Struthio camelus: one gene and its partners. The protein of the gene in region 1 interacts with the protein of each later gene in a biochemical or structural test. Links are inferred from orthologs where the notes say so. Each region holds a gene or a part of one and is shown in the gene's direction. Other genes may lie near its edges. The genes, in order: FYN, FASLG, SNCA and ENO1.

Region 1 (7,808 bases):
GTTTCTGGGCTGGATTACAGATGCACTGCTGTTCCCAGTATTCTTCTCCCAGTCTCCTCACTACCATTTAAAAAAAAATATTTTTACTGACAGTTAGTACATTTTATCAACTTTCACCAAGAGTTTAAAATGTTTATTTGAGTAAAAATAAGAGTAAGATTTGTGTCTGACTTCAGTAGGTTCTAACTTTTGATAAGTCTAGATTCATAGGAAGTTTTGAAGAGGTGGATTTAAGATATTTTATGTTAACTGTTTCTAGATTTCCTCAGGTAACCCTATGTGTGTTTTTCCCCCATATCTGCATGTTAGCCACACAGAGCGTAAACACATCTGGAGCTTATAAACCCAGAAATTTAACTTTCAGAAAATGCATGATACCATTTGAAGACGTAGCATTACAGTTTAGTACGTGGTTTGTGCGTTTGGGAAAATCTCTGTGAAATGTCTTCTACTTTGTTTTTCAGGTACGTTCCAAGACAATAAAAAAAAAAATTGGTACGGACCTAAACACTTGTAATTAGCCCTTCTATAGCAACAAGGAAGGCCTCTAATGGTTATTATTTACAGCTATAATTGTGAGCAAGTTTCCTTCTCCACCTGCTCTCACAAATGGTCTACATACTATGCAAAACGCAAAGCTCTCTTCTAGCCCTGCCAATACCCTTCCTGCGGTTGGAGCACATTAGCACTATTAGCATTCAAGGGCAGGATGAAGAGCTCAGCTCAGCCCCTTCCCTTCCTCTTCCACGCTGTTGTTCCCACGCTGAAGCCAGTCTCCCCGGGGAGCCGTATCCGCCACCTTAGCATCCCGCCGGAGTAATCATCAGTGAGTCAGCAGAACCCATTTAGCACTCCCCAGCCAAATCAGCTCCTGAAAACACAGTAGGATGTTTCAGGCAAATACTGTCAGCCTCTTAAAATACTGTAGGCAAGTTCTGATCGTCTTTTTTTTTCCCCCATTGCTCTGTAATTATTATTATAATATGCTATACATGACAGTCTATAGCTGGTAAAACATATACAACCAAAAGCAAAATGAATGGAAGCGTCACCGAGTTAATAAAGGAGGAGGAGAAGCATAGTAGAGCATATAATGCAATGAGGCCGATCAGTGATTATAGACGTACAGTTTTGAGTCAACAATTTGAAGGTGACATTTGGGGATCCTTCCGAAAAGTAGTTCTATTCAAAAAGATTGTGAAAAAAGACACCATAGAACCAGACACTTTTTGGATCTTCTTAAATACAAGTTGCTCTTGTACTGACTTTTTCAAAATATGGCTTGGAAGAATCCAGCAAGTAACACCGATGTTTTCACACAGAGACAGTCTAGTTTTACCAACAGTAAAGCTACCAGCAAAACTGAACCACTCTACTGTTCTGTTCTGCACACAAACTACTCTTACATCTCCTCGGTATTACAAACTTCAGCTTCAGTTTTGCATGTCAAAATATTACCTTTCAGTTCAAACTGTGGATGTTATTTATTCAGCATACATTCACACTCTGTGTCACTGATTTCTTGCCCACTGACAAGTGAGGTATTACGAACACAAGTGTCTCATCCCATGACTGTGGCACTACATTCCCAGGTGCTAAATTATTAATACAAATAAATCGTAACCAGCTTCCATAATTTTCACACTGCTCAGTTACAAAAATGGCTTGGCTTCTTTGTTACTGTAGCAGAATATGGGATAGGAAGGAAAAGGGTAAAATCTTGACACAATATTGGTTAGCATGTGGGACTCTGCAGAATGAAGTTTTTGACTTTTCATGTCTTCCATTGAGGCTACAGAGGAAGAAGTATTTCAAAGGTCAGGACTGCTAGACTTTGCTGAAGAAGTATTTTAAGGTGAGGCTGGAAAAGGAGAAAGCAGCTTCGCGTGCAGAGAAAGGCTATGTAGATGAAGGTGGGAGAAAACAGTATTATAGACTTAAGACTAAAACGCTTAGAAAAGCTAAGGAAGCAGCAGCAGAAGGTAAAGAGCTGCTCCTGTGTTACGTAAGTACATTTAGTTATTTCTGCTGTTTAGCTGGGAGGATGCCTGTCAAGATTTTCTAGATGATTCCCAAAGGCTGACATCAATATGGCCAGACCGTAGCTGTGAGGGCCAAAGACAAAATCTGCTGTGGGGAAGAGCTGCTACCTGCCCGCACCTGCGGGCCCGACCAGCATAGGAGGCCGTGCTGCACCAGATCTCGCCTCTCCCACGGGGGTCCGCGGGAGCTCACAGCGACTCTGCTGCTCCTTATGATCCTAAAAGAGATTACAGCTCCCCTAAAGGGGAAACCCATCGCTTCTTCCCTTGCTTAATGACATACCAGCACTTGGTTTCTGCCTCCACACCTTGTTCCTCTTTAGCTGTACTAGCTCAGAGCATCAGACTTTCTGTGGCACGCTGCCAAGCAGCCAAGCAAGTTTATCTGCCCAGGCTTAGAGCTGCTCTGTGGCTGATGTGTGATATTGTTCGGGTTTCATTGATCAGTTGGTAATTTTCTAACTTGGCTCAAAAAAAGAGTTGCTGCTCTTTTCTTTTTTTTTCTTTTTCCTCCTTTGTGCCATTCTGGTTTTAATTCGCAGCAAGAACATTCAAAGCTTTGGACAAGGATTTTTTTCTCTCACTTTTTTGACTGTAAAATTAAGTAAATTTCCTAAATCTCTTGCTGGAAGAACATCTGGTCCTTTGATTAAAAAATGGGAGGCTTAGGGCATAGAAAAACGCACGTTCTCCTAGAGTCAGGCACTGTTTTTTCTACTTAGGAGAAAAGCTTGGGATATAAAGCACTATTGGCAGTCCTGAAAATCAACAAGCTGGACGTCCGTAATTCTACTCGCCTCCCGGACTGCACCAGGCCCGCTGAGGTTGGTCTCTGCTCAGGACCTCTGCTTTTCCTGAACCACTGCCTGCCTCTGGCATAGCGCTCTTTGAAGCACTGAGCACTTTGAAGCCAATAGGACCAGGATACTCTACCTGGTACTTCTGGAAAGGCAGAGCTAGACTTCTGTATTTAAGTTCTGCTATCACCCACTAGGACGCAACAGCAAAACTTTTTTCAGTTGATTTATGCACTTCTGTTTTTGTGCTGTTTTTACATTCTATATGTTAAAATTAAAAAATTGCATGGAAAGAGCAGGAGGCAAACTAAAAATGAGCTACCTAAAAGCCTGAAAAACGTTTGCTTATACTCCTATAATCAGATTTTAATTGAGAAACAACATGATCGGCACCTTTCTTTTGGAATTCTCATCCTCTCCAAGTTTTTCATATGAGCCAATGGAACAAACTCTATAAGGTCCTGAAATTTTATTCTCAAAAAAGAGTCATCTACACAGACAGCCAGATAGACGAACCATTTCTTTTTTTGCTGTGAACACACAACTGTAGACATTCTGGTAGAAAATAGTGTTACATTTGAACCTATTAAAACTGTAATTTCATCAAGAAATCGAATCATCAAGATCAAAAGATTCCCCGTGTAAAATATCAGCAGGTAAAAATTATATCTGGGGAAGAGACGAAGAGATAAACGGAAACCTTATTTATTGCAAACTTGTATTATACTTCTTGGTGCCCTTTCAACATTTATTCCATTTCTCTTCCTCTGCATCTCTCTCTTACACGTCTCTCCTGTTTTTGTTGGAGTGTAGAGCGCAATCAGTGATTTCTTCAGTGTTAGGGCAGATAAACTTTCGAAGCCTGCAAGACGAGTGACAGCCAGATGTGCCAATCTCCGGCACAGGAGCACCCCAGGTCACTGACGGGGTTGTGTATGGCGTGCAAACGCTGAAGCTGAAGAGCCCAGCGCTTTTCAGTGTGTGTTGGCGGCGGACAGAAACACCGTGAGAAATGCCAGGAGGTACTACAGCATTGCTGAGACAAGGAAAGGAACAAGGTGTACGGAAACCTTTTCCTCTTACCTGTTTATGGAGCGAGGTATACCACAATTCAAGGACAGTAAAACCTGCATGTGCTGAAGCTCCAATAAAGGCTTTTAACTGTACTAAAAATATACATATACACTTCCCATAAGGTGGACATTGTTAGCTTACAAATCTTTCTGACAGTGATCTGAAATTCTCAGCAATTAAATGCAGATGTGGTATAAAACCATAGCTGTTTCCTTATAACCCACGACTGCCAATTTCAAGAATTAGGGATAAAAGAAAAAATAGACACCTTTTATAAAAGAGGGATAATCTACTTAAGGTTGTTCTCCTATTCATCTGTGATTCTGAGCCTTAAGGAAACACTTAATTCTTGTTTCCCGCTCCTGGGCACCCTCGGAGACAATGCACCTCCCCGCCCTTTTTTTATTTTTTTTTATGTTTTTTTTAAACAGAGGTTTCTGCCCGTCCGTGGGCCCCGGCCAGGCGGAGGCTGCAGACCCCAGCGCGCCGGCACCGCGGTCCCCAGCAAACGCGCGGAGCGGCGCAGGAGGCGCGGCGCGGCCTGCCGGCCGTCATTTTACGACTCCCTTCCTCCTCCTCCTCCTCCTCCAACTTCGCCCCTCTGCCCGGCCAGCCCGCAGCAGCCTCCCGCATAGCCCCGGCGAGCCACCCGCGGCCATGACCGTTACGAAGAGGCCGGGGGCGGAGGGGAAGCGGCGACCCGACCCTCCCGCCGCCTCTCCGCCACAGCCGCGGAGAGCGGGCGCTGAGGCGCGGCCTCCCCCCCGCCGCCCCGCCTCCCGCCGCCGCCGCCCGCCAATGGCGACGGCCGGGGCCTGCCGGCCGCCCCTCGCCATAGGCCGGCGGCGCTGCCAATCTGGAGCCGCCCCCGCGGCGGGGCGCGGCGCGGCGCGGCGGGCGGGAGGGTGCCGGCTCCCGGCTCCGTGCGGGTGAGTGGGGCCGGGGCGGCAGCGGCGCTGCGGTTGCGCCATCTGTCAGGAGCCCCGGTGGGAGGGAGCGCCTGGGCCGCGCTCGCCCGGGCGGAGCGGAGGGGAGGCGAAAGCAGCAGCAGCAGCAGCAGCAGCAGCAGCAGCAGCTCCTCTCGGCGGGGGGAGCCTGTGCGAGCGCATCTCTCGCAAGGCTGCGGCTCTGCCGGCCACACAAAAGCTGCCGCCTCCCGCTGCCGGGCTCAGCCCCGCCGGAGTTTGCCCTTCCCCTCCCTTCCTCCGCCCGCGGGAGAGATTCAGGGGAGGGGGGGCGGAGCGGTACCCCGGAGCTGCCTGTTATTATTGTCGCTGTCACTGTTGTCGGAAGCGGGGGGAGCCCCTGCCGCGGAGCCGAGCGAGGGATGAGGAGGATGTGAGTGCGGCGCCGCAGCCCCCAGCCCTGCGCTGAGCTGCCCCAGGTAACGGAGGGGCCGGCGCCGCCCGCCCGGGGAGGGGAGCGGGCGTTTCGGGGGGAGAGGGAGGATGCTCCGGCGTGTTTGTTTCCTTTGTGCCTCCCTCCGTGCGGGCATGGCGCTGAGAGGCTGTTTCGGGAGCGGTGGCGGCGGGTTTTGTCTCCCCTCCCCGCTGCCTCCTCGCCGGCTCGGCCCGGGGAGGGGGGGATCCGCCGGGCTGGGCCTGCGGCGCCGCGGCGAGGGCTGAGGGGGCGGGCGGCGACGGTTACGGGGGCAGGTGGTGACGGTTACGGGGGCGCCGCGAGGCCGCGGCGCCCGCCGGTGCCCCCGCCCCCGGGGTGCCCCGCCCGGGCCCGGCGGCCTCGCGGCGGCCGCCGCCTCAGGGCTCGCGCGGCGCCGGGCGCGGGAGAGGTGCCGGAGCTGCAGCACAGGGCTTTATTTGTTGCCGCTGAACTGCGAAAAAGGGGAGGGGGGGGGAAATAAATAAAAAGACCTTCTCTCCCTCTCGGGTAAACCGTATAGGATTTGCGCCTCTGTGACAAAGGCCTCTTTCAGGGAGGAAAGAAGGGGCGCACCAAATGCCCAAGGGTGGCAGGATGTGAAAAGAGGCTTGTTTCTTGTCTTTTCCCTAGAGCTTCTCTGTTTCTCCCCAGATGAGGCCGCTGAGCTGTTCCCAGTTCCTTCCCAGCCACATTTAGATTAGTGAGAGATACCAAACGCCACGCCACGGGTGCCAGGGTTTTGCTGCGTCTGCAGAGCTACGGCGTACATGTCACCAGATCTCCTGAATCGAATTCGGTTTGGTTTCTGCCTCCTTAGGAACTTGCCTTGTTCCATGTGGATTTTGCATGCGTAGGTGCTAGGAGAGGACACTTACTAAAGACAAGAGCTTCCTATCCTGGTCCGTTCAGCAGTGATGGAGGAGGCAGGGCAGAGTCAATGCTAAAGGAGAAGGTTTAGGTTGAGTGGAGAGCAACCCAGTTACTCATCAATCATTTGATACATTCTGGTTCTTAAAATGCTTAATAAAAAGTGGGAACAGCCTGGGCTTTCAAATGCATACCCAGCACTGGAAATGCCTGTGAGACCTTGTCATTTTCTTCCTTGTATACAACCTCCCTAACTCCCACATCCTTCCTGCCACCATCCTGGCAGCTGTAACACTTTCCAGTACCCCCCCCCCCCACACTTTTTTTTCTTTCTATCTTTTAAACTAGTATTTTGTGATCAAAGCTTAGAACAATTGTAGGTGAAGCTTTGTTTGTTTAGATGTTGATAGAGGAAGTGTTTTTGTTAAGGTTGACTTGTCTGATCTCCCTGGAAGAAGGAAGAGTTAACTCAAGGGACACTGTCAACTTGAAATCCAGAGAATTTGAATGATGAATGGAGAACTGTGTCCAATATTACACCCACTGTTGAGTTCCCTGCTGGAGCTCTGTGGTTTTTATAATCCTGTCTCCTGACTGTGTGGGTTTGTCATGCAGCGAAGGAGTAAAAACACACTTCAAACAAAGTTCTGTTAAGTGAACAAAGGAAGCTAGAAGAAAAATACCAGAGGACTGGGAAGGGAAGGAAACATCTCCAACTTTTCAGTTATATCCATGTCAGCCAGTGCTTGACCCAGTGGGAAATTTGGGAAGAGAGAAGAAATTATTTGTTAGTTTTTAAAACTGAACAATTTTTAAAAATTGAAACCAGTAAAGTAAAAAGATTTGCCCTCTCCCCCTCCTCACACTGTACAGGATTTATTTACCATCTTAATGTGTGTTCTCCAGAAGCAGATGACACTTGGTGGATGTCAGTAGATGGGTGACTTTTTAGAATTCTTTATATATATATATATATTTTTTTTTTTTGAAAAGGGAATCTCTTGGAAGAAGCACTGGGTTCCTTTTTTTATCCTGTCCCCCTCCAAATGAATGTTGTCATTTTGATAAAGAAAGTAATATGACCTAGTTAATGCTTTCAAAATTTGGATTTCATTTGTGGTAGGTTGCAGTTCTCCCTAGTTTGTTGAAACATTCAGATGATCCTTAGGAGATGGCCTGTCAGCCTCTTTGTTTTCCTCCTCTAACAAATCAGTATGTAAACTCATCTGAATGGCTCATCCTTTGCTAAAATAAGAATTTCTAATATGAGTTGTCTAATGATAGATAAGTGACTTTGGTGTTTCACAGTTTATGCCTCAGCCACATGATTTCAGCCCTTCTGTGTTATCTGCTGGGGAAAGATGTAGTGACATGAAACATCGCTTAAGTATAAAACCCTAAACAGACCTGAACACTGTTTTGAGATTGGCTAAGGCCAGTCTTTAATGAATGATGAACGATTCAAGCACATGGGCGTAGCAGAAAATGCAAGGCAGAAGTAGTGATGAAGATGATAGAGGGAAGTTACTTGTTAATTATGTCAAGTATCTTTAAAAGTTAGGACCCGCTGATAAGCTTCTATTCCAGTTGAGTAAGATAAAGCATTGGTGAGGAACTCATTATTTCTAAGGTACTGTAGATTTCACAT
Region 2 (7,292 bases), on another chromosome or scaffold:
ATGCAGCACTATAGACTTTCAGTAGTTGTTTTCTAGCGTTTCTGCTAGTCACTATTGTAATGGGATATTTGTTGACACGTTTTTCTTCGTCCAGAACCCGATGAGAGTCTCCCTCTTACACTTAGCTTTTTAAATTACTATTTTCTATTTATTTTTTGGTAATTATTAGATCCAGATCATTGTTTAAGTTCCATTTTCCTTGCTACGCATCAGGAATAATTCCATCCTGTTGTCCTTAAACCTGCTGGATACAAACTTTTAGCTGTATTTCTTAGACACTGGCTGGTTCTCATCGCTGTCAGAATCTAGGTTTTGCTAATACTGAGTACTATTAATAAGAGCTCTCATCTTTCCTGGGGGTGGGGGGGTGGTCTTTTGAGCAAATCCTCCTTTTGTGTCTGCGTAGCTGTGGCTTACCTTCCGTTGTTTGTTTGTTTGTGGGCAAAGGAGATTCTCTGGTAAAGAGCACATGAAGTGTTTCCATTTGAAAATGCTTCCTCCTGTTCAAATGAGGGAGTATGGCTGCAGAAGACAGGGTGGGCCTCCTACAAACTGTGCAAAGAGAAAGATAGGGAGGCAGAAAGCCGTATCTGACTCCCATCTTGTCCCTTTGTGTCCGTCCTTTTTTCCTGCTCTTGGCCTTTTAGTGAAAGAGACTCATGTGACTCAGGTGTCTATGTTCAGCAAATTGTCCTGCTATTATTTCAAAAGCCCTGTTTATTAATACCATGTGGCATGTGAGCAACAGGAAGCCAGCAGAGCGCAGAGCCTGTAGGCATCATGACATCCTGCCCAGAAGCAGCCCTCCTTACTGCTCTTTTCCAGGATGTATCATCTCGGTGGTCTCTGAAGGTGGTCGTAAAGGAATCGGAGAGTGTGACAACAGAATCAGCATGGCAGGGTGTGCTGGGAAAGCAGAGGTCTCTGAAAACATGCTGGGCACCAAAAATCACCCTTTGATGGTAAAATAAGCCAAGCTTTGGTTTGCCGCAACATGCGGTATTAGCAGGCTCTTGATCTGAACATCCGAAGATGCAGCATGGCTGAAATGCTTTTCATTGACTTTGTTGTCTCTGCCCTGTCATCCGCTCATAGAAAAGCGTCTCAGTGAAAAAAGGAAGCAGTGGGTGACAAATAAGTACATTTGTGACATTTAAGAGAGGCTCCTAATGTGCCCGCAATCCCACCAAGATGAGCTGTCTGCATTGAATATAGACAGCATCAGAAAAATCCTGAGAGTGGATCCTCTCTGGGCCAGGCTGCGTGCTTGGTGGCTTTTGGCCATCCCTCCAGCTCTATATAATTGTGTGGGGCCATCCAGCCCCATCCTTCAGGGCAGGACAGGTGTGTAATTTTGAGAGCTGTTGATGAGATATGTGCCATATAGCAAGGGTGAAATCTGCTTGTCTGGACAGCCAAAGTGAGGTACCTATGCAGAGCTGACTGTCCCAGGGCCCACGTGTAGGATCTAGAGCTGGGAAGAGCTCTGTAAGGTCGTAGTCCTTAGCTCCTGCCTCTTGCACCCAGTTCCTGTATAAACGCTCCGTTGGTCTCTGTCACAGCTCTGACTCCTAGTCACGGTACTGATCATAAAATTGAAAACTAAATGTGTGGATGGCTGTACAAAGTCCAGGCAGCAGCACTGGCATGGCTTACTTTGAGTTTTTGAGGGTCAGTCAGTCCCTGAACCAGCACCCCAAAAGTACAGGGGAGCTCCCTTGCTCTGTTCTGTGCTCTTCAGACAGTCTCCTTCCCTCCTTAGTAATTGGATGTTGCCTGTGTTGCCGGAGGAGGCTCTTTCCAACAGCCGAGCGCTCTGATGTCCTCTGTTATGCCGTAGATGTCAAGCCTTTTCTTTAAAAAGCGGTGAGAGGAAGTAAGTTTTGGAGCTGATGTGCTTGTTCCCTCTTCTCTGAGCTAGTCAAAGCTGGAAGCCCACCTTGTAGGGGGACCTGGCTTCTGGGCCCACCTCAGGCAGGGGTCTCACCCTGATGGGGAAGAACCCCAAATACATGGCTGGAGGAGAGGCAGGGGTAACCCTATCTGAAGAGAGGGTTTGGGGCCCAAGGAAGTCCCAGGCTTTGGTTCCTGCTCCCCAGCCCATCCGTGTATTTTACAGCAGCTGAAGGGGATACAGAGGGCTGTAGAAGAAATGGGGACTCCCTGCCCTGCTCAGCGTCCATGTTGCAAAGAGCCACAGGTGTGCTGCACTCACTGCTCTGAGTGAGGCAGTGCTGGTGCTGACCGCTGGGACTGTGTTGAGCAAAAAGCCTGAGTGGGTGGTGCATCCCCTGCGTGTGGCTCAGGTGCTGCATAGGCAGTGTGGGGAGCATGTTGATGGGAGACACTTGCCCAAGCAGCCTGCTGTTTCTCTCAGCTCCTGGCTAGAGGTTGTGCTCGCTCGCTCTCTCCAGCACTGGCTAACAGGGTGGACCAAACTCCACATCGGGTGCAGGAGGTGAGGAGCTGAGCCCAGCCCTTTGTGTGACCCAAAGGGTAATCCCACTTTTGTAATGATCCCACTAGCAGGTGACTTTGCCTGGCTAGTAGGCACCATTTCAGATGCAGAGAGGAGAATTGCATGTTGAGGGGAGGTGTGACCAGGCTTGAACTGCTGGAGCTGGATTCATGTTGCTTTTGTGTCTTTTATGTCAGAAACCTAGAGGTATAAGGAGGAAGGAGGACCCGCATAAGTTTCTGAAATCTCTCACGCTGCAGATCACTGCTTCAGCAAGCAGCTGTGGTGAATAGCTTCAAAACACAGTGGGGTGGCTGGTGGTGCAGGCAAGGCTTTGAGGACACATCAGAGTGTTATCGGTGTGGTTGGAGGTAGAGCTGAGCCCTTGCTCTGGAGAAGCTTGCATGCAGCTTTTGGTAAAGCATGCTGTCCTGAGATTCCAGTTTTTGATGTTCAAGATAAAAACCCGTGTGTTGGGGCTGCTTTGCTTGGCCACGTAGGAGACAAAACTCCAGTTTCCTCTTGCGTTAGGCAATTGCTTTTTTAAACATTGCCCCTATGCAAACACATACGCTGCCGTGCAGGCCTGTGAAATGGAAGAACAGATTGCTGCGGACAGTGTTTTTTGTGTGCCTGTAAATTGGTGGGACGATCTCATTGCCATCACTTAGAAATCTGTGGCCACTGAAGCCTTACATTGAAGGATGGAAACATTCCTGTCCCTGTCCTTCCTCATTATGATTTTGTAATGAGCCTTCATCTGAGTGCTGGTCCTTGAAGCATAGCTTAAACTCTGGATCCTTTCTAGGAAGGCAGAGAAATTCTACTGAGAGATGAGTAGCGCAGTGTCTATTCTAGGCTTTAATCATGAGATATACAGACTGGTTAGGTCCTGCTGCAGTTCTCAGCATTGTCCTAAAAAGAAAAAAAAAAACCAACCTTCCCAGCTCCAATGCTTGTTCAGTTCAGAACAGGACTGTGTGTTTAGTGATACTGTTTGCAGAAGTAAACAGGGAAGCAGAAGCTGCCAGAAGAAGCCTGATTTTGCTCTGACACGATGTGTGTTTCCTGCGTTACAGCCCACTGCTTGTTCAGCTTGGTCAGTGCCATGCAGTGATTTGGTGTGGGTGCAGACAGCCCACTGAGCCGGCTGTGCTTGGGCTGTCAATCCTGGGGCAGCTCTGCTGAGGCTGCAGCACTGACGTTGCCTTCCTCTTTTTCGTTACGTTGGTTTATTATACCACAGCATCTGTGACCAGGGCTCTGCTGTGTCAGGGATTATACAAAACTGTACACACAATCCCTGCCCTAGGGAGCAGGCAAAGGAAAGGTGGGATGTGCAACAGACTGCCCTAAGTAATTTGTCCTGCGCAAAATGAACTAATTCCCCAGTGCCCACAGTGACACTTGGGATCAGATCTTTATCCTTCCAAGGAGAAGCGTCCTCAGCTCTGCCTCCTCCCTCTTAGGCAGGCGGCCAGAAGCAGGACAGGCTTTGTTGTTCCCCTCTGCTCTTGGTCCTGGGCACCACAGGGCGAGTGGGCTGCGGAGAGCGGGCTGCTGGAAAGGGTCGTTGGCTGGCGTGCGTGCTGGGCTGATTGCTTAGCCCCTGGCTGGCAGCGCAGCACTCTCATGCCCTGCCAGTGCTTTACTACTCAGTGCACCCGTTCCTGAGCCTAGCCTTTGGGCACAGTTTTGTAGGAGAGCAGCCTGCCACTGGGTTTGTCCTGGTGTGTGTGCGTGCTGCCTCAGTGTGGGAGGAGCAGGCAGGCAACCCTGAACTTGCAGCTGAGGGCGGAAGCTCTTTGAGGTTTGCTGCTGATGCTTGAGGCTTTCATAGAGGCACAGCATCTGAGCTGGGTGTTCACTGCTGGAGCGATGAAGGCGTATAAAGGCAGAGGTGGGTCTTCCCCCAGGACTCAGTCTGGGTCAGCCCTGGCAGCTTTTGGCTGCCACATGGAAGATCACGCACAGCACGTCCAGCCCATCCCTCTCCCAGCCATGCAGCAGAACCTGAACTACCTGTACCCTCAGATCTTCTGGGTGGATGGCTGTACCAATCCCAGCACTTCCTGTCCTCCAACACCCCCCGTTGCCCCCTTCCCACCACCAGTACCTGATCGGAGGACAAAGCCAAGGGGCAATAGGGAAGGGAAGAACGTCGGCTTCCTGGTGGTCTCCTTGCTGATCCTGCTGTCTCTCACTGGAGTTGGACTGAGCATGTTTCAGATTTTTCGCCTGGAGAAGGAACTGGCTGAACTCAGAGAGGTAAAGTCTGTTTGGCTTGTCATAGAGGCTCTGGGGGGAAAAAAAAGAAAGGACAAAAACCGAAAAATGCATCTGAGGTGCTCAGGGGGTGCAGAACTCTCCATGGGGCAGACATTTGAATGTCTGCTCTCCTAGTGTGAGTAGGGTTGTTTTACATGGTAGAGGACTGCTCTGTTGGTGGCTATGATATGCCTGGATGTCTCTGTGTTTCTAAGTGCCGCAGGGTCTCTGTCCCTGTACATAGTGTTTCTTACCACTCCGCAGTTCTCCTTGAGTGTCCAGAACTAGTCACTGTCAAAGAGAGTCCTTGGCTGTTCCAGGTAATGCCGTTATGCTCTTCCCATGCTAAGAGACTTTGTCATCTTTTCTTTTGACAGTCTGCCAGCACTGAACGCATCCCTCCAGCTCTGGAAAAGCTCATAGGTGAGTTGATGTAGGTAGAGGAGCTCCCTCTTTGTAGCTTCTCTGAAATCTCCCATTTCACTCTTCCCTCCCCATGTCGGCGGGGGGGGGCAAAGGCAGGATTGCAGCTCTGATGTTCTGAAAGTGCTGATTTCACTCCTTTGGTTGGAATGAGAAATGTATCTCCAGAATGCGGGTAGGGCTCCCATACCCTGCCTGTTGGGAGGAAAACTGCCCTGGTATCACCCGTGGGTATGGGGACAATCTGCCCCCAGGCTGGACCTCCCAGTCCCCAATGGGGCGATGGTACTAGAGGGGCTCTAGAGTAAGTGAGTTTCTAGCTGCCCTAATATACAGCAACAATATGGATAGAAGAAGGAGAACAGAGATCCCAGACAGGCATCATTCGTGTTACTTCTTTGTTTCCTTACTTGTCAAGATTTTGGGAGGATGCGGAGGGTTTCATTTTCTTTGGGGGTGGACCATTCACTTCCTCCCTTGAGAGGACAACTTATATTTTCCTAAATTCTTTTGGTACAAAGTCTCACTGCAGCCAAAGCTAATTGAGAAAAGCCTGATGATATATATATATATATTTTTTTTTTTTTCTTTTAGAAATGTCTTTTCAGTGAAATTGAAACTTTCCACAAGAACCTGCCAATTTTTCTGAAATTTCATTTAGGAAAAAAAAGTAGAGTTTCTATTAGAATGGAACAATATTAAAATTATACTTGAAACTTTCAGACTTTTTTTTTTACTTTTACATAGCACGATAATGTTATCAGTGATAATATCCCTTTGCAAAGAAGGTTAAAGCAGAAAGAATTGTTCAGTTTTTTTGATAGATCTGAAAATATATTTTTTTCTTGAGGATTTGTTTAGTAGGAGAGTTCATTTCTTTTCAACTCTGTTCTGATACAGAATGAAAGTGAAGTTGGAAACAGCATAACTCCCTGGAAAGGGCAGCTCCTGTTTCAATTAACTTTGTAATCTGTTGCTTAGCTCTCCTTCCTCTGTCATTTTAACCAGCTCCTCAGTGCTCTGATCACAGGCTATTTTAGCAGCACCTGAATGTGAGGCATAAATACTAACCCCAAAATTCTTGAAGGTAGTAAATAAATAAAGCCAGGGAAATAGTGTAACAGAGAAGGCAGAGAGGAAAATGGAATTTGCCTGGCATGAGAAAAGAAGAGGCTTCTTTTAAAATCTGGGAACCTAGTGCTTGGAAGTGGGTGCTGAATGGAGGGGAAGGACAGGGTGGCATGGGCTCCAAGCACCCACCTGTTTTCACTGTCACTGGCCTCTCTCTCCAAGGGGACACAAGCCCTCTGCAGGAGGCCAGGATTTCCTAGCTATGTTCTGCCTCTCACAGGGTAAGGTCTGCACGGCCAGCAGGATGGTTTGCAGGCAGTCTCAAGTATTTTTTCTGGTCTAGTTGTAAGGAGGGTTGGCACTAAGCAGCTACCTGTCTGCTGTCACAGGGACGTGTGCCCCTGGCAGTGCTGGACTGGAAGAGGGCAGTAAAGCAGGCTCATCTTTGGCAGGACATGAGCAGTCACCTTGGCATGGGCCAGAGATGCCAGTTAATGGGGCAGGACAGCCCTCTCCTGCACCTTGAGGGAGACACCTCTGCTTGAGCTTATTGACTGAGCCATTTTCAATGAAAGCTGTCCTTGCTCTTTTGTTCTTCCCCTTGCTTTTGATTAATCTGGATCCTTTGCTGCAGTGCTTCCTTGCTGTGAAGCCTTTGCTTGAGCACCAATCTGCCTTGCTGCACCAGGCCGTGTTGCCCATGCACCTTGTGCTGCCCTGAAGCTGCCCCATTTCAGCATCACAGAGGGCTCCCTTCTGGTCTCTGGGCTGGCTTCTCCATGGAGCATGTGGTTAAAGTCTTCTCCGTTTTCATGTAGGGGAGAAGAGCGCGTCAGCGAAAAAGGAAGAGAGGAAGGCAGCACACTTAACAGGTATGTGCTGAGGGGTCAGCGAGAAGGGAGAGCGGGACAGGGCAGATGTGGCTGGGGCAGAAGGGCAGCCTGGTTAGAGCTGCGAGGATCCTGCTTCATGTAGGCCTTCTCAGTTTCCTTTGGTAACATGCATGCCCTGAGAGTTCAATGTCACTCCCGCAGCTAAAATCTTCTCCTTCATTTAGGCTTTTCAGTGAGGG
Region 3 (7,255 bases), on another chromosome or scaffold:
TCAGGGAAGAACTTACAGTTATACTAATAGTGCTATGGAGATAACCTAGAAAAACAGGTGTTGTAGATAATATTGTTTAAACAGGAATAACCTTGGAGATGCAGTTCTAATTCCCTACTATATTTAATTCTAGACTAAGTCCCACCCATTTGCAGAATGAAGAATTTATCATATTCATACTCTTTTTTTTTTCCTTTTGTGTCTCTTATGCTCCAATCTGAAATTTTTCAGAGGCAGCTATTTTGAATCTTACAGCTGAATGTTTAAATCTTATTTCTACTGTGCTAACTGATCCCTCTTGTCTTTGCCTCTCTACTTTTAACTAGCTGTTTTTATTATCCTGCAAGCTGTTGCTTTGCTTAGTACTAGAACAACATACTTCCTTTTGATAAATACGAGACAAAGAAGAAGCCTTACAAAGGCTAAGAAGCAGCTGTAAACCTCCAAGTTCTTCTTCATAGAGTTTTAACAAAATAAATCCAGTTTTATATTAATTTATCAAAAAGCAGGATTTTATTTTCATACTCACTTACATACCGGACAAAGAAAATCTAACTTCAAAGCGAGAAGATAACTTTTAAACAAGGAGCTCAATACTGGTCCTTTAGAAAGGCATTCTAATTTAGGGACTAAGGTTACTGGCCTGGGTAGTAGTGTTTCACACAGCTGTAAGGAATGATGAAAGAATGGCTTCCGACAAGCCCTAAAGTATATAAACTGCTGGGCTTGCCAACGTTAAAGTTGGTGTGTAGGGTGAGTCTGAGTAGGCCTTGTGTTTTTGTAACTGCTTTATGTGCTCTCCTAAAAGTTAGCTTTCTACCAATATGAAGCTTCTACTAAAGGGTAAGATGTTACACTGTTTTTGCTATGGTATCGCTGAGGCTACAGGAAATACTTTAAAAATACTTTGTGACAGTAAGGCTTTTATAGTAAGCAGGGTTTTATTTTAGTGGCAGAATGAAGGGTAGAACTTGAGCTTAAGCTTTCTACCATGTTATCAAAGGCTTCTCCTCATAGCTTCTGTAAACAATCATTGTGGGGGAGTATTTCATTGTGTGCTGCTCTATTTTTCTGTATTCATCTTTTACTGTTGTAGAAGGGTATAAGTGATGTAAGAAATACTACTAAGACTTTGACTCTAACTGTACACCTGGACATGGTGCAGATGTCCCTTTAAGTGAAGCAGGTCAGTTAGGTTCAAAATTGGCTACAACTTACATAAGAATACTTAAGGCTAGTGGCACTAAGTTTTATGCTGGTGATTTGGTCTTCTGTGGAAACTTTGTAAGAGGTAAGCATGAGAGAAACAGCAGTTATAGCACATAAGAAACTGTTATGACTTCAGTCAGATCAATATGCTTTGGTGAAAGTGGCAATACTTGCCACAAAAGGCAGTAGCCAACCTCTTTATAAAACTGAGCACTGAAGTTTAATAGTATAATGCTCTCCCCCCCCCCCCCCCCAAACTTAAATTGTTTTGGTAACTGACTTATGATCATTTGGCTAGTGTCAGTAATGTTATGCTTCTCACTAAAGCACCTTGGTGCTTCTTAAAGTAGCCTTAGAAGTTTCTTTAGTTTACCTTTAATTCTTAAGTTGGCAAAAGGGAGCTTGAAATTGAAAGTAGTTGCTATTTTATTATTTTGTGGAGGGAGTTTGAGGTTTAGCTGAGTGATTGGTTACAGAATGTCTAATTAAGGAGAATAGAAGTTTTAACTATTTCATTATCCATTTCCTGAGATGGCTTGTGTCTTTTAGCTAGCTATAGGGCATTTGTATATAACATGTCCTATATTTGTATATAGGGTGTTTAGCTGCCTCCCTCCTTGGAGGCAACAATATAACGAAAAAGGAATGTTTGAAATAGCTTGTGAAAATAAGTATGCTTTTGATATAATCTGCCAGGAACTACTCACTGATTAAAAACTTCATTGTTAAATTTGGTTGTCACACTGCAATGTGATGCACGGGTGCAGAGGAGTTCTAAGACAACAGAACTTCTTACTTCTCTGGGGCTCTTCAGGATTGCAGCTTAGCAGGGAGTTTGTAAAAACATATATTTGTACTTCTGAATCTTATCCTTTGAATTCCTAGAAAGTTTTTCTGGTTTCTGCTACTGTTACTTAAAATTTTAAAGTAGCTGAAATATAATGCTCAGTTAAATCTGTGACTGAAATAAAAATGCAGCTAACAATCCTGCTTGTCCTGTGACAAAAACTACTGATTTTCATTGACTTGTGTCTCCATAACTGCCTGTTTCCCAGAGTGAAGCATAAGCCAATTTTTACTGAGTTTCTACAACCTGTCTATTGACCTGGAACTCTACAGGTTATTTCTGAATCTTGACTTTTCTGACAGTGTCGGAAGGAGCTGTCATAAACGAAAAGATTAAGGCCTGGTAACACCATTTTCTAAAACAAAAATACCCTCTGTTAGTGTATGTATCTTCTATATATTGCTGAAATCCTTTCTCCAAGGCATCTAAAGTGTCTTATATACAAACATCATAAAATACTGATGATAGGCTGTGGTAGATGTTGTGATGTAGCAGAATCAGTGCACACTGAGTCTCAGATTGTCAACTGTATTTTGCAAAGAAGCCTTTATATTCTTGAAACTAATCTTGGAAAATTTCTGTTAGTGGAATGTTCCTTGTAAAAGGTACCTGGGAACTTAAGAACTATTGGTAAAAGGCCTAACTCTGTAAAGATCCTAGGCACTTCAGTATGTAGATAGTTCACACGGGGAATTTTCCAGCTGCTCTACTCTCCTTGACTCTGAAGATTCAACAAACTACATTCTAGAGCAGATGTATCAGTTTTGACATGTACATTTAAGACAGTCCAGAAAGAATTGACATATATGGTCAGTGAAAAAAATGAAGCTACTAGGTGCATTCCATACATGTTCTTTCCTTATGTCAAGTGCGTGTGGGGAACCCTGAACTCCAAGGGATTAAGCTTTTTGTTGAATATTAAGTAGAAATACTTAAATAACTGAGAATTAAATAATCTTTGGGAATTCTATTACTGTAAATAGCAATAATGTGGCAAGAAAACTAACTTCTCACATGTAGAAAGCATACCCCTTTGATCTACTGTCTAATAAATGATAACTATGTTCCTTTGCCCACAAGTTAGTTGTCTCCCTATCAAGAACGAACATTTCCTTAGTGTGAAGGAGATGAGGTACCTAATGTAATTACTATGCTTTTAAAGCCTTTCTTGAAGGTAGAATTATGAGGAAATGATTCATATTCTCTATCAATATCTTACATAAAGACAGTACACTGCTGAACACCTGATTAAAACTGGTAGCAGGATAAACCAAACAAGTTTTCTTATACAGTAGAGAAACATCAAGGCTTCTAAAGGAACCTTCCAGCTGCATGTTCAGAATGAAACTAAAACCAGGGGAGCAGCAAATTCCTACATAGGATGAGGAATGGAAGATGTTTCTTGCAAGTCAGATCGTTGTATTGGCTACAGCGTGTTCTGTCTGTCCTTTTGGAGTAGAATAAACAAATGGAGAGGGAAACTTTCTGTAGGTCATGCAGGATTTCAAACAGTACATGAACTAGTGTACTATGGCTGCAGGTCCATCTGCTCTAATACCTTGTCTCCTGCTGGTCTTGGCTTGTCATGCCTAAATAGGGCTACCAAAATAGAGAACAAGTCTGACAGCTTTCCCTTTACTGAGGAAAAAGTTTCATAAATGCATCAGATTGAGACATGAGTAGCAGTGGCTATGAAGTGTATGGTGGAGGATGCTAAGAGGGGCACAGGGATTGGCAGGAGCTAGGCTGTGTGTTTTGTCATGTTCCTGACTTGAAGTGCAGATTTCTTGTGTGATAGGACTAAGTCAAATTGCATCCTCAAAAGCATCAGTCTCTGCATAAAAAATGACCTGGGAACATAAATATTATGAAAACTCAGTGGCATTTAACTCTGAAGTCACTTAAGAGCAAGGATTTAGAAGTAGAGGAAAAAGTAGCAAGAGGCTTACAAAAAATTCCTAAGCCTGAATGAAGTGGAACATAGGTGGATTGCAACTGCCATCAAATACATACACTTCCAGGTGTCTAAAGACTCTGTTTTGAGCAGGTAGTGGGTGTGCAGAGCCACAGGTGAGCGAGAACCCTGGTCTCTCTTTTACTTGTCTTCCCCTCTGGATCTGCCTTGACTGGGGAGGGGGGGAAGCTCCCAATTTATCATGCCTCCAACTTCGTTTTCACTGACGAAGCACGGAGGTGGGTGCCAAAGATACGTGAGGCCCCTGACGCGATTCTCCCGTGGGGAGCAGGCGGCGGGGGCCGTCCCCCCGCAGCAAACCCCACCACAGGGTGGGGCGGGAGAAGGGGGGTGTGTGTGATGGGAGCCTCCCTCCGCCCCTACTTCCCTCCCTCCCGCGGTGCTTCTCTCTCCACCCCTCGCCCTGCCTCTCCCTCACACTCGCTGCTTGCCGGGCTGCCATCGAGGTGGCGCCAGGAGACCCGGCTCGCTCTCCCGCGCCTCAGGGATGTACTGAGAAGGGGGCAGCTCCCCTCGGGCCTCTCCGCGCTTCGCCCTTTTCCTCGCTTCAGAGCCTCCTCAGAAAGGGTCCGCGGCGGCGGAGCCCGGCGGTAAGTGGCGGTGAAGGGGGGGGGGGGGGCGCCCGGGGCGCTCCGGGGGAGGGGGGGAGAGGGCGCCGCGTGGTGTGGCAGCCGGGAACGTCCCTTTCCGTTCCTGTAATGGCTAGGGCTGGGCTTCGGTATTATATATAATATATATATATTTATTTACATACACACCTCCCATTGAACATCATTCTGGGGGGACGGGGCGGGGGGACGAAGTCAGGTGGTTTTGCCAGCTTGTCCTGTCTGTGTCAGGGGGAGCTCGTGGGTGCCCCGCTGGTCACGTCGCCCTGCTCTTCTTCTCACTAGGTGCCTGTCTATACGTGTATGTGTATATATATATATATATATATATAAAAAATATATGGCCACGTCGCCCTGCCCACTCTCTCTCTGAGTAGGTGCCTCCATGTACGCAGGTCACGCTGCCCTCCCTCCCTCTCTGTAGGTGCCTCTCTCTCTAAATATATATATATATATATATGTATAAATGTATATGCGGTGGCGCCGCCCACCTCCGTAGGTGCCCACGTACCTGTTGGCGCTGCCCCCGTGGCTGGGGACGTGCCGGCGGCCGTTGGGCGCGCGGCCGTTGGGCGACCGTTGGGTAACGGTTGGTTGGAAGCGGGCGGCGCGCGGGGCGGTGGGGAAATGGCGCCGCGAGCGGGAGGGTCCGGCGGGCTGGTGGTGATGGTGGCGGCTGCCCCTCTCCAACCGCTGCTCACAAGCTGGTAGAAAGCTGCCGCAGCCCAGGTGTTTCCCTAGACGTGCGTTCCTCCTACTCCGCCTTCAGCGCAGAGGAGAAAATAACGGGCGCTGATTCTTTTTTCTGTGTGGGTGGGGAAAGAAGAAGGAAAAAAAAAAAGGCGGTTGATAACTCATTTGTTGAAGGGAACTTGACTTTTTAGTTTTAATTTAAACGTAGTGCTGGGTTGCGCATCTGTCGCAGAACTAGTTTGCTAGCTTTTCTGCTTTAAACATTGCATATCCTTGCTTTTTTTTCCCCTCTTTACAAAATCTTTTCTCATTCGTGGTGCATGCAGAGAACACACAGAGAAACTCAGTTTGCAGAAGAGTGACACTGACTGTGCACAAAATGCTGCATACTGGGGGAAGAACTCAGCTCTTTTTATTTGCTGTAGGTCCTTTTTGGTTATAACAGCATTTTCTCCTAACAATAGCAAGTGAACCTTTGTCACTTAGGATTTTTTTTAAAGTTGGCAGTGTTTATGTTGCCTTTTTTCCTCTGCATGAGCTGATGTGGAGTGTCATCAAATCACGGGGCTGAATCTTGCAATCAGTACATGAACAGAACTTCACTTTGAAGGGAGCGGTGCCTTGGTAGAGGCAGTGAAAGCACTTGTCGTAGCAACGAATCCATCTTCCTATTGGCACTGCGTTATCCAACCCCTTTATTTATAGGTTTCTGTTGAAATTTCCGAACCCGTTCTTGGCTTGTGAGAGTACTGCTCTTGCAGTGCTGTTTAATTTGTTATGTGTGGCAACGTATGAGAAAATGTAAAGGAGATTCGTGTAACAGTCCTCTTTGTGTTTAGCTGTTGTATAGTTTATCTGAAATACTGAATGCTAGCTTAGTATGTACGTATTACTAGGGAAATGTGGATGAAAGCTACAAAATAGATGGGTGTAAATTATCTATAGTCTAATTTTTAAATAACTGATTCCAATCAATTTGACCAAAATTTTCCTTTTCTGAAAAAAGCAGAAAACCTCTATTTGACCTGTGTGTGTGTGGTGGTTTTTCCTCTCTTCTCCAGAGCTGTGTGATTCTGCAGCCATGGATGTGTTCATGAAAGGGCTCTCCAAGGCGAAGGAGGGAGTCGTAGCAGCAGCAGAAAAAACCAAGCAGGGTGTGGCAGAAGCAGCAGGAAAGACGAAAGAGGGCGTCCTCTATGTGGGTAGGTGAGCAGCGGAGATCATGCTGCTAGTCTGGTGTTCCCTGATGTTTGTGCTCATCTGCAAGAATGAAGGTTGGGTTCTCAGAGCTACTCTTCTGGGTTTTTCGTTCTTTCTTTTTTTAAAAAAGAAAGCTCATAGGAGAACCTTGGAAGACAAACAAGATGAGTTGAGCCCTCCTGGGTTTCGTTTCTTTGAAGCTGAACATTGGTTTTAAGCTGTTGCACTGTGCTGTCTGTGTTGCTACACTGTGGAGCCATATATGTAGCCCTATACAGAACAAGATGTGCATCATAGATGGTGCCTTACAGCACAGGAGACCAGCTGGCACTCTGTTCAAGAAGTATACTCCATTAAGGTTGGAGATGTGATTTTTTTTGATACAGTAAATGATATAAAAGCTAAAATGGAAAGAGGCTTCATAGAATCCTGTAGAACCTGTGGGTTTTCAGCAGTTTTTTCTTTCTTTATGAGAAGAAGCTTGAGAGGTTCACTCAGGAGCTGATCATAAACCATGCTGGCTGCTTTGTCTCGGAATAAAATGAAGTGGAAGGGAACGCGCTCATTAGGAAGGAGCCTGTTCTCTCTTTTCTCAGTTTTTAAGATCCCCAGCAGTAACATTTTTGTGTGGCAGTGTCATCTTGTCTTCTGAGATTACCCTCATGTTCAACACAACTGTACATCCATAGCTGCTTCTCTCTATGCCTCATTAATGAAGAGCTA
Region 4 (7,403 bases), on another chromosome or scaffold:
TCTATGCATGGGAAGTCTCATTTTGTAGAGTCTCAGGTGTGACCTAGAGCAACCTCCTGGCAGAGGTGTGACAGTGCAAGATGTTGGAGCATGCTGAGTTCTGCTCTGTTCTTTCCGTCTGTCACACTGATGGAGGCCTCACCCCCAGCTACCTTCTTGGAAAAAACCCTGGAGCACTAAGGTGTGCAGTGAACCTATACAAAGCAGAAGGAGAGACAAGCAACATCAAAAACAAATGCACGGAACCAGCTTTTCCTTCTCACGTTCCCCAGTATGTCTGTTGGATCCCTTTTTTTTTAAAGTAAGAAAGGAGAGGGGGATGTCACTGACAGCTGGTGTCAGACTCCAGAACCACTCCCCGCAGGAGCGTCATGGAGCCCTCTCCCCATGCTATGATAGCTCCCTTTGATTGCTCTGGTTTGCACAGTGCAAGTGCCCAAACATCTGCAGACCTGAGAACTTGACTCCACAGGGTCACTTGGGTCATCCATCCTGCAAAGCCATTGGAGAAGATCCCAAGAATGTCTTTGTCTTTCCCCAGGACAAGTGTCCCGCCAGCCTGGGTCACTTACCCTTTCTGGATACTCTTGGCTTTACCCACTTCTCCGTTCAGCCATAAATCTGCCATCCCGGACTGGGAGGCCCATGCCATGCACTAGTGCAGCCAATTTTCTGACTCACGGTGCAGAGGGAAGCTGATGAAATGGCCTCCTATCCACAGCCCCACATGGGCACCCACAGTCACCACCAGCTCCTTGTCCCTCTCCTGCATGGAGTAGGAGAGAACAGTCTGACGGCCCGCCTGCTGGGCTCTGGTCCAAAAGCATAAGGTGAAAGCATGGAGAGTCATACTGCGCAGGGGCTGAATGTTCACACAACTCAAATGTTTTCCCCAGGGAAGTAGAAAGCTGGGAAAGGGCTAGATTTAACACCTGAAAGAACCAAAAAGAGTCAGCTGTTACAGTGCCTCCCATGTCTATAAATCAGACCAAGTCCTGCAGACTCCACCCATGGCAACGGGCAGGGCTGTGGCAGTCTTAGCTGATTTAGCTGCAACTACTGGCATCTGCCGTGTCAACAATGAATGAGCTTGAAATAATAAAAAATTTAGCTCCCTTGCCTATTTGCTTTGGGAACATTGTGTTTTTTCCCTCCCTCTGTTCTCACCCTGTGTAAAATGGAGACGACGATTTGCCCTAGGGGAACTGGGAGCTTAAATTCCTGACTGCTAAGCTGCAGTGCGTGTGAGAGTAGCTAGTTTTGTGCTAGACCTAATGATAACGTGGCTTATGAAAATTCTCCGTCTGGCCCAGATTTGGGACCACGTTCTACCTGCATGTAGCGGTACCAAAACCGTTAAGCGCTTAGGGCAGCAGGGCATGGGCTCTTCATCCTTGGAAGGGGTGGGAGGTAACCGGGAGTTTAACCTATAACCCCATAGATGCATGTTGCTTATCAATCTGGCTCCCTCTGTTGAGGAACTCTTTCTTCATGTCCTGGAGCTGCATCTGGATTTGCTCCGGTCAGAGGCTGAACTCCTCTGGAGAACATTGATCTAGAGCAAGCAGACAGCTGCATTTACTGAAGGCCAGGACCTGCGCGCGGTAGGGTTTCTGTTTTCTAGTTTGTAGAAGATTGGGGGAACATCTTTGTTTTAAAATGGGGTGCCTCACCGCTATACGGTGCCTGGCTAGTAAGCCCTGCCAGAGCTGTTTCTGCAGTGGATAGGATACCTCAGCTGTATGAACACAGACAGGCTTGAACCTCCTATTTCCGCGTGGCGTCACGCAGCAGCGCTTATCCCGGGATGGCTGCGTGACGCACCGCGGCGGCAGAAACCGGGGTTTGGTGCACAGCTTAAAACCACCGCTGCATCATAAGATGCCAGATGCGTTGGCAGGGGGCAAGGGGGCACACGGGCCATCTCCGCCTGCTGTGCGGGGACACCGCTGCTCCTGGGGATGACGGTCTTGGGCATCCTACCTTAAGCAATTTCTAGCTTGACCCCTTCCAGACAAGTTTCCTGTTCCCTGGCGAAGGCCAGTCCTGCCTGCTGACTCCCTTTACCTAGGGCGAGTTTGGCTCTGAAGGAGGCCTCCACCACGCGGTCGTGGAGGGGCTGAGCGTGTCAGTTCCTCAGGGTCCGCTTTTGCCAGTCCGGCAAGGTGTTCTCCAGGAGGCCGATCTGTGAGTAGCGCAGCCTTATTACAGAGGGCTCTTATCAGCTAATTGACGATGAAGGCGTTTTGCCTGAAGGACGTTATTTTAACGCCTGCCTGGTAGCGTGCGTGATGGAGCTTTAGCAATTATTCTGTAGCGTACTGCTTCCCCAAAGTGCTTCCTAGCTTTCCCCCTGCCACCGAAATGAATGTTTCTTTATGTCAAACGTAAAGGCGCTGTGATCCTCCGCTACCGTGACCTCCTCTCGGTCTAGTTTTTCGCCTGGAAGGAGGGCTAACTGATGCTTCTGCTTCGTTAAGGAAGGTGATCCACCCTGCAAGGCTCGTTGGTAAGCTTTTTTCGCTAGCGTTACTTTGTTCCCCGCTAAAGCCCTCTTGCTGACAAGGCAGACAGAGAGAGAGCAGAGACGGGGACCCTGCCGCGCGACAGTACGCCGCTGCTGGCACAACCGCGGTCGCTCCGCAGCGCTCCGACGCGCCGGGGCCTTGCACCCAACAAGGTCCTCTCTCGTGCCCCTGCCCTGCTCGCCCATCACGCGGCTAAAATTCGTATCAGGCCGCTACTGAAACGAGATATTCCAGCTGCGCAAGGCAGGCGTAGACCAGAAAAGAGATACTTTCCCCAAAAGTGCTATTTATTCTGCAATTATTTTAATCCTATGAACATCTATGAACCTCACAGATGAACATCACCTATGAACAATCCTACGACCATCTCCCTTTTTTTCTTTTCTCTGTTTCTTTTTTCTTTTCTCTCTCTCTTTTTTCCCTTTCCGCTCAAACGCTGTCCTGCAGCAGTTCTGCCCTGTTGACCCTGGCTGGTCTCTTGCTTTTTATTTTTTGTAGCGTTTCAGCCTGGTCGAGCGTAACTGAGCTTTGTCGTCGCTCACCAGACGCCAGCTGATCTCGCGCTGTGCAGAGGGCGAACCTTACCGCGGTCTAGCATCGCGGTGTGGTCACGGTCACCCGTCGTGCCAGTTGCTTAGGAGGCTGTCTCCGAAACCCCGCGTGAGGAACCCGCCGTTAGCTCCTCTACCGGGTCGTTGCCAAAAAATCGCTGGTGAACGGAAAAGGTAAGTGTGTTAGGAAAAAATAAAAACTAAATAAAGCGTGGAGGAAAGAGAAGGTGCTGGGAGCGGGAAGCAGCTAGTAGCGAGCTGTGCGTGCGACGGCGCGGTCGGAGACTCAGAGACGGCGCAGGTCACGCGCTCGGCGGGGTTGTCGGGGAGCCCCGGCAGCTGTAGAAGCGCGGGAGGTTTTCTGGCAGCACGGCCTGGACATCCGGAGGAGTGAGCCTTGCTGAGTGTCCTCCAAAGGCAACAGAGAGGCAAGATTAGCCAAAACCGGTGAAAAGGCGAGAGCGACGTCAGCGGTGGGACCGGCAAACGGCGGCTCCCGGGGAGCAGAGCGGAGCGAAGGGGACGGTCCGTGCAGCGGGCGGGCTGCTGGAAGTGAGTCTCTACCGCTGTCGCGCGCTGACCGCCTGGGCGGGCTCTTGCGGCGGCGCTGCGCGGGCCAGGGACGGCACGAGGGGCAGGCTGAGCCCGGCTGGGGATGCCCGAGGACCGCGGCAGCGAGGCGTCCGTCCGCAGCCCTCTGGGCCGAGCAGGCCCTCAGTTAAGGCCTTCAATAAAAAAGGCCGCCGTTGTCCGTGGCGGGGTTGCGGGGGGAGCGAATTAGCTATTCCTAATTGCAGACAGAGCTAATTGCTTCCTATTGCTTCCAAGGCGCGGGTACCTCGGTCATAAACGTGCTTGGTTTGCGTACGGAGGCCGGCTGCTTACGCCGACGCCGGTCCCCGCCTCGTGCGGCCCAGCGGGAAAAACTGAGGGGGGGGGAAAAAACCAAAATCTGCTGATCCAGGAGAAAGCGTGCCGACACCTGAGCCGCGCCGGCTCCGACCACGGATGCTCCGCCCGTGTTATTCGCCTTCCTCCTGTCGCTCTCGGCGCTGGTTTCCGCACCCACCGGTCCCCGCGCACGAAGGGCCGGCTGAGACCCGCCGCGCTCATCGCACGCACGGCCGCCGCGGCGGCAGGCCCCGCCCCCCTCCCTGCGCCCGGCCCCGCCCCTCCGTGGGATTTTCCATGAGCCCGGCCCAGGCCGGCAAGCGCGGGGGCCGCCGCGGCACGTAGCGCACGCGCCCCGCGCCGCGGCTGGGGCGAGGAGGCGGCTGGGGCGGCGGCGGCCAATGGGGAGGCGGGCGAGCGCCGGCTCGGCCAATGGGGAGGCGGGAGGGGGGCGGGGCGTGCGCACGGCGTGGCCCTATAGCCGGGCGCGCGCGCGGCCGTTGCTTCCCAGTCGGTTGCGAAGCGGCGTCCGGGCGGCAGGTGAGTGAGGCGGCGGCGGGGCCCGGCCCGGCCCGGCCCGGCCCGGCCCGGGGCGCCTCTCCGCTCCCCTTCGGCCTCCCGTGGGGCCGCCGCCCCCCCCCCACCCCCTCTGTCGTCCGCGGCGCCGCTGAGGCGCGGCCGTTGCGAGCGAGGCCGCCTCGTGGCGGCGGGGGTGGGGGGAGGGGCTGGCTGGTGCCTCTCCGCGGCCGCGTTAACGTCTCTTTCTCTCTTTTAATCATTAAGCAGCTGCTGTTGGACGGCGCCTCGCGGATGGGGCCTCTCTTCCCCCCCCCCCCCCCCCTTTAGGGATGTCCTTCAACTCCGCCGCTCAAATATTTGGCGTTTGGCGGGCGCTCGGAGTGTCGGCAGCGCTGGGGGAGCGGCGGGGGCGGCAGCCGGCCGCTCGGCCCGCGCCTCTGGGCGGGTGATGGAGCGTGGAAAAGGGAGGAGAGGGGAGGGGAAAAAAAAAACCCAACATTGGCCTCTCTGCGGGCTCGCCTCGTGCTGCAGGAGAGAGGATTGGGGCTTTTTGCCTTGTTCCGTTACTTGCTGCTGAGTCACAGGGTAGGGCTGCGGCTTTCTCAGCCCGGCAGGAAGTAGGGATGTTTCTGGCCCCAACCCCCGAACTGAGGCAATGCAGTTTTCAGGCCTCCATCTTATTAAAAGAGAGAGAGAGAAAGTAGCTCAATGCATCCTTGACTGATTCTGTGCCAGGCATTACTTAAAGCACGTTGCATCATGTTGCAGAGCGCAGGTGTGCGTTAACACTGCTTGGAAACCCAGGGGATATGACCAGAAGGTGCCCGTGTTGGTCCCCACGTGTCCCACCTTGAGGAATGTCTCAGTGTTAGGAGTATATTGTGAGCTCAGGGTCTAGTAAGCAGGAATGTTTCATCAGAGTGGGGATGCCATGAGGCTTGCAGTTTTACGGGTATCTTTTTCAGTGTGATGGGGGACTGCCACTGGCAGCTGTAGGGCAGATCGCTAATAAGACTCCTAAACTAAGTAGAATAGTTCTTCCTGTGGCCGAACTACTGTTTTTTTATTCCCCATTCAGGTTCTTGCAGTGCTCTGCCTTAGCCCTGTCTTGACTTTAGAGAAACGTGGCTGCAAAACAGCTCACATAAGTAGAACTCTTAGCAATAGAGTTAGCTGTAAGGTGAATTTCTGTGAACCATTTTAATCTAGGCTGGAGCAGTCTGCATTGTAGTTGGAGCGTTACGTTCCCTGTGCAGAGCAGAGATCAAGTAGGGAGTAAGTGGAGCTTTGATAGTGGAGGTAGTGTTAGAATTGGCAGTCCTGTGTTGGGCTGTAACTTAGACTTGAAGTAGGTAGCAACTTAATAGATGTGCTTCTAGGAAGGTAGGGAAGTTGGTGTGCGTGATACCTCTCCTAAATGACCTTGGGACAAATGACCTTGGCAGCAGACTGCAGTACAAAACAAGGTTTAAGGGAATACGTGCATATAAAAGTCCACTCTGGCATGTGTTTGGCTAATTCCATCGTTAAGTACAAAGATCTGGAATAGGTATTGCTAATGATGAGCTAGCTCTTGTCGTGCTTGTGTCCGGCTACTGTTTTTAACAGTTAGACCTATGCTATGCATGGGCTAGCTCTTGCTTTCTTGCTGAGGTGGCTGAATAGGATTGAGGCAGAACACTTGTGCTCGGCTTGTGATGACACAAACAGCATCAATCTTTTTTTAGCCAGGAATAGCTCCATAGGAAAATCATTTCTTGAAAGCAGAAGTGAGGGGGCTTGTAAAATGGGTTTAAAAAAAACTGACACGGAGAATCTCTGAGAGGATGCAGTGCTGCAAAATGCCTCCCTGTAAAGAACAGGGAAGGACTGATGGGGAGGTCATTTGCCAAGGACGATCAAGTACTGTGCTCTGCCAAACCTGGGGGGTAACTTGTGGTGGAAGCTCTTGCAGTGTGTATTCCTAGAGTGCCCCCTTCTTTGTGAAGGTGAACAAACAGTTCTGTTGCATGAGGACTTCTTTGTGAGGTGGCTATTAACCCAAAAGAATGGGGCATCTAATTTTTTTGTCGAAGCTGTGGTTCTGAAAACGAAAGTAAGGCATAGCAGGGGCCAGCCGAATCAGCTTTGAAAGCCCTTTTCAGGGATTCTTGCCATTGCTTAGTGCAAGTGCAGAGGGATATGTGCCTGTTGATATGGCTGGGACTGATAACTGGGGAGTTGCAGAGATTTATTTCTAGCTTACACACTGATTTAAAATTAAGTAGCAGCAGTATAGAGGCCAGCTTGAGCCAAGTTGCCTTGCTTCTTAGGGCAGTCATATAACTTGTCAGCGTTTGGGTCTTACAGTAGAGCAAGCAATATCTTAAAATACTCTAGCTGCCTCAGAACTGCTTTTCTGAGACAGGAGCAGCTGGAAGGGGTTCTTTGAAGCTGGTGGACAAACCAAATGTCTGCCTGTGCCTTTAATAGAGACAGTAAGCAGGAACTTGAGAAGGGAAAATTTTTACAGTGGAGGAAGAAAAAACGCATGAAGCTGATATCCCCCCCCCCCCAAGTATTTCTAAGAGCCTGTTTTAGTAACTTTTTGGTAACTGCAGAGATGTGACTATAACTCTGTATACTGAGTTACCACCCATATTGGCTTGCCAAAAAGCCAGCTGCCAGATATTTCTGCTTCTGAGGCTCAGCTTTCTTATCTGTTGATGCACTAGTTCTCATACCAGTCCATGGCTTACAGACATTTGAATAAGCTGATTTTTAAATACTGCTAGATTTATGTATGATGTTCCTTACTGCAATTTTTCTAAGGAGAAACTTAGAACAGAAATAAAAGTTCAAAGGATTGTAGTGATCCTTTCCTTTTAGGAGGCAGGGTAGGCTATTCTTGTAGATACTCCTCTCACAAAAGGGA

Evidence for each region.
Region 2: the proteins of FYN (region 1) and FASLG form a complex in vitro, tested with the Homo sapiens proteins (4 studies listed by BioGRID and IntAct, with this or other methods). The link is inferred for Struthio camelus from reciprocal best matches to the Homo sapiens genes FYN and FASLG.
Region 3: of the proteins of FYN (region 1) and SNCA, one has a biochemical effect on the other in vitro, tested with the Homo sapiens proteins (3 studies listed by BioGRID). The link is inferred for Struthio camelus from reciprocal best matches to the Homo sapiens genes FYN and SNCA.
Region 4: of the proteins of FYN (region 1) and ENO1, one has a biochemical effect on the other in vitro, tested with the Homo sapiens proteins (2 studies listed by BioGRID). The link is inferred for Struthio camelus from reciprocal best matches to the Homo sapiens genes FYN and ENO1.

The regions. Positions count from the first base shown.
Region 1 is NC_090944.1:61,357,485-61,365,292, reverse strand, and holds the start of FYN (tyrosine-protein kinase Fyn), read left to right. Parts: upstream 1-4,798; 5' UTR 4,799-4,842; intron 4,843-4,848; exon of another isoform or gene 4,849-5,297; intron 5,298-7,808. UniProt on the Homo sapiens protein: Non-receptor tyrosine-protein kinase that plays a role in many biological processes including regulation of cell growth and survival, cell adhesion, integrin-mediated signaling, cytoskeletal remodeling, cell motility, immune response and axon guidance.
Region 2 is NC_090949.1:8,983,314-8,990,605, forward strand, and holds the start of FASLG (tumor necrosis factor ligand superfamily member 6), read left to right. Parts: upstream 1-4,281; 5' UTR 4,282-4,336; coding exon 4,337-4,726; intron 4,727-5,103; coding exon 5,104-5,149; intron 5,150-7,038; coding exon 7,039-7,092; intron 7,093-7,292. UniProt on the Homo sapiens protein: Cytokine that binds to TNFRSF6/FAS, a receptor that transduces the apoptotic signal into cells. Involved in cytotoxic T-cell-mediated apoptosis, natural killer cell-mediated apoptosis and in T-cell development.
Region 3 is NC_090945.1:13,021,273-13,028,527, reverse strand, and holds the start of SNCA (alpha-synuclein), read left to right. Parts: upstream 1-4,238; 5' UTR 4,239-4,621; intron 4,622-6,393; 5' UTR 6,394-6,413; coding exon 6,414-6,534; intron 6,535-7,255. UniProt on the Homo sapiens protein: Neuronal protein that plays several roles in synaptic activity such as regulation of synaptic vesicle trafficking and subsequent neurotransmitter release.
Region 4 is NC_090962.1:5,393,059-5,400,461, reverse strand, and holds the start of ENO1 (alpha-enolase), read left to right. Parts: upstream 1-4,386; 5' UTR 4,387-4,402; coding exon 4,403-4,510; intron 4,511-7,403. UniProt on the Homo sapiens protein: Glycolytic enzyme the catalyzes the conversion of 2-phosphoglycerate to phosphoenolpyruvate. In addition to glycolysis, involved in various processes such as growth control, hypoxia tolerance and allergic responses.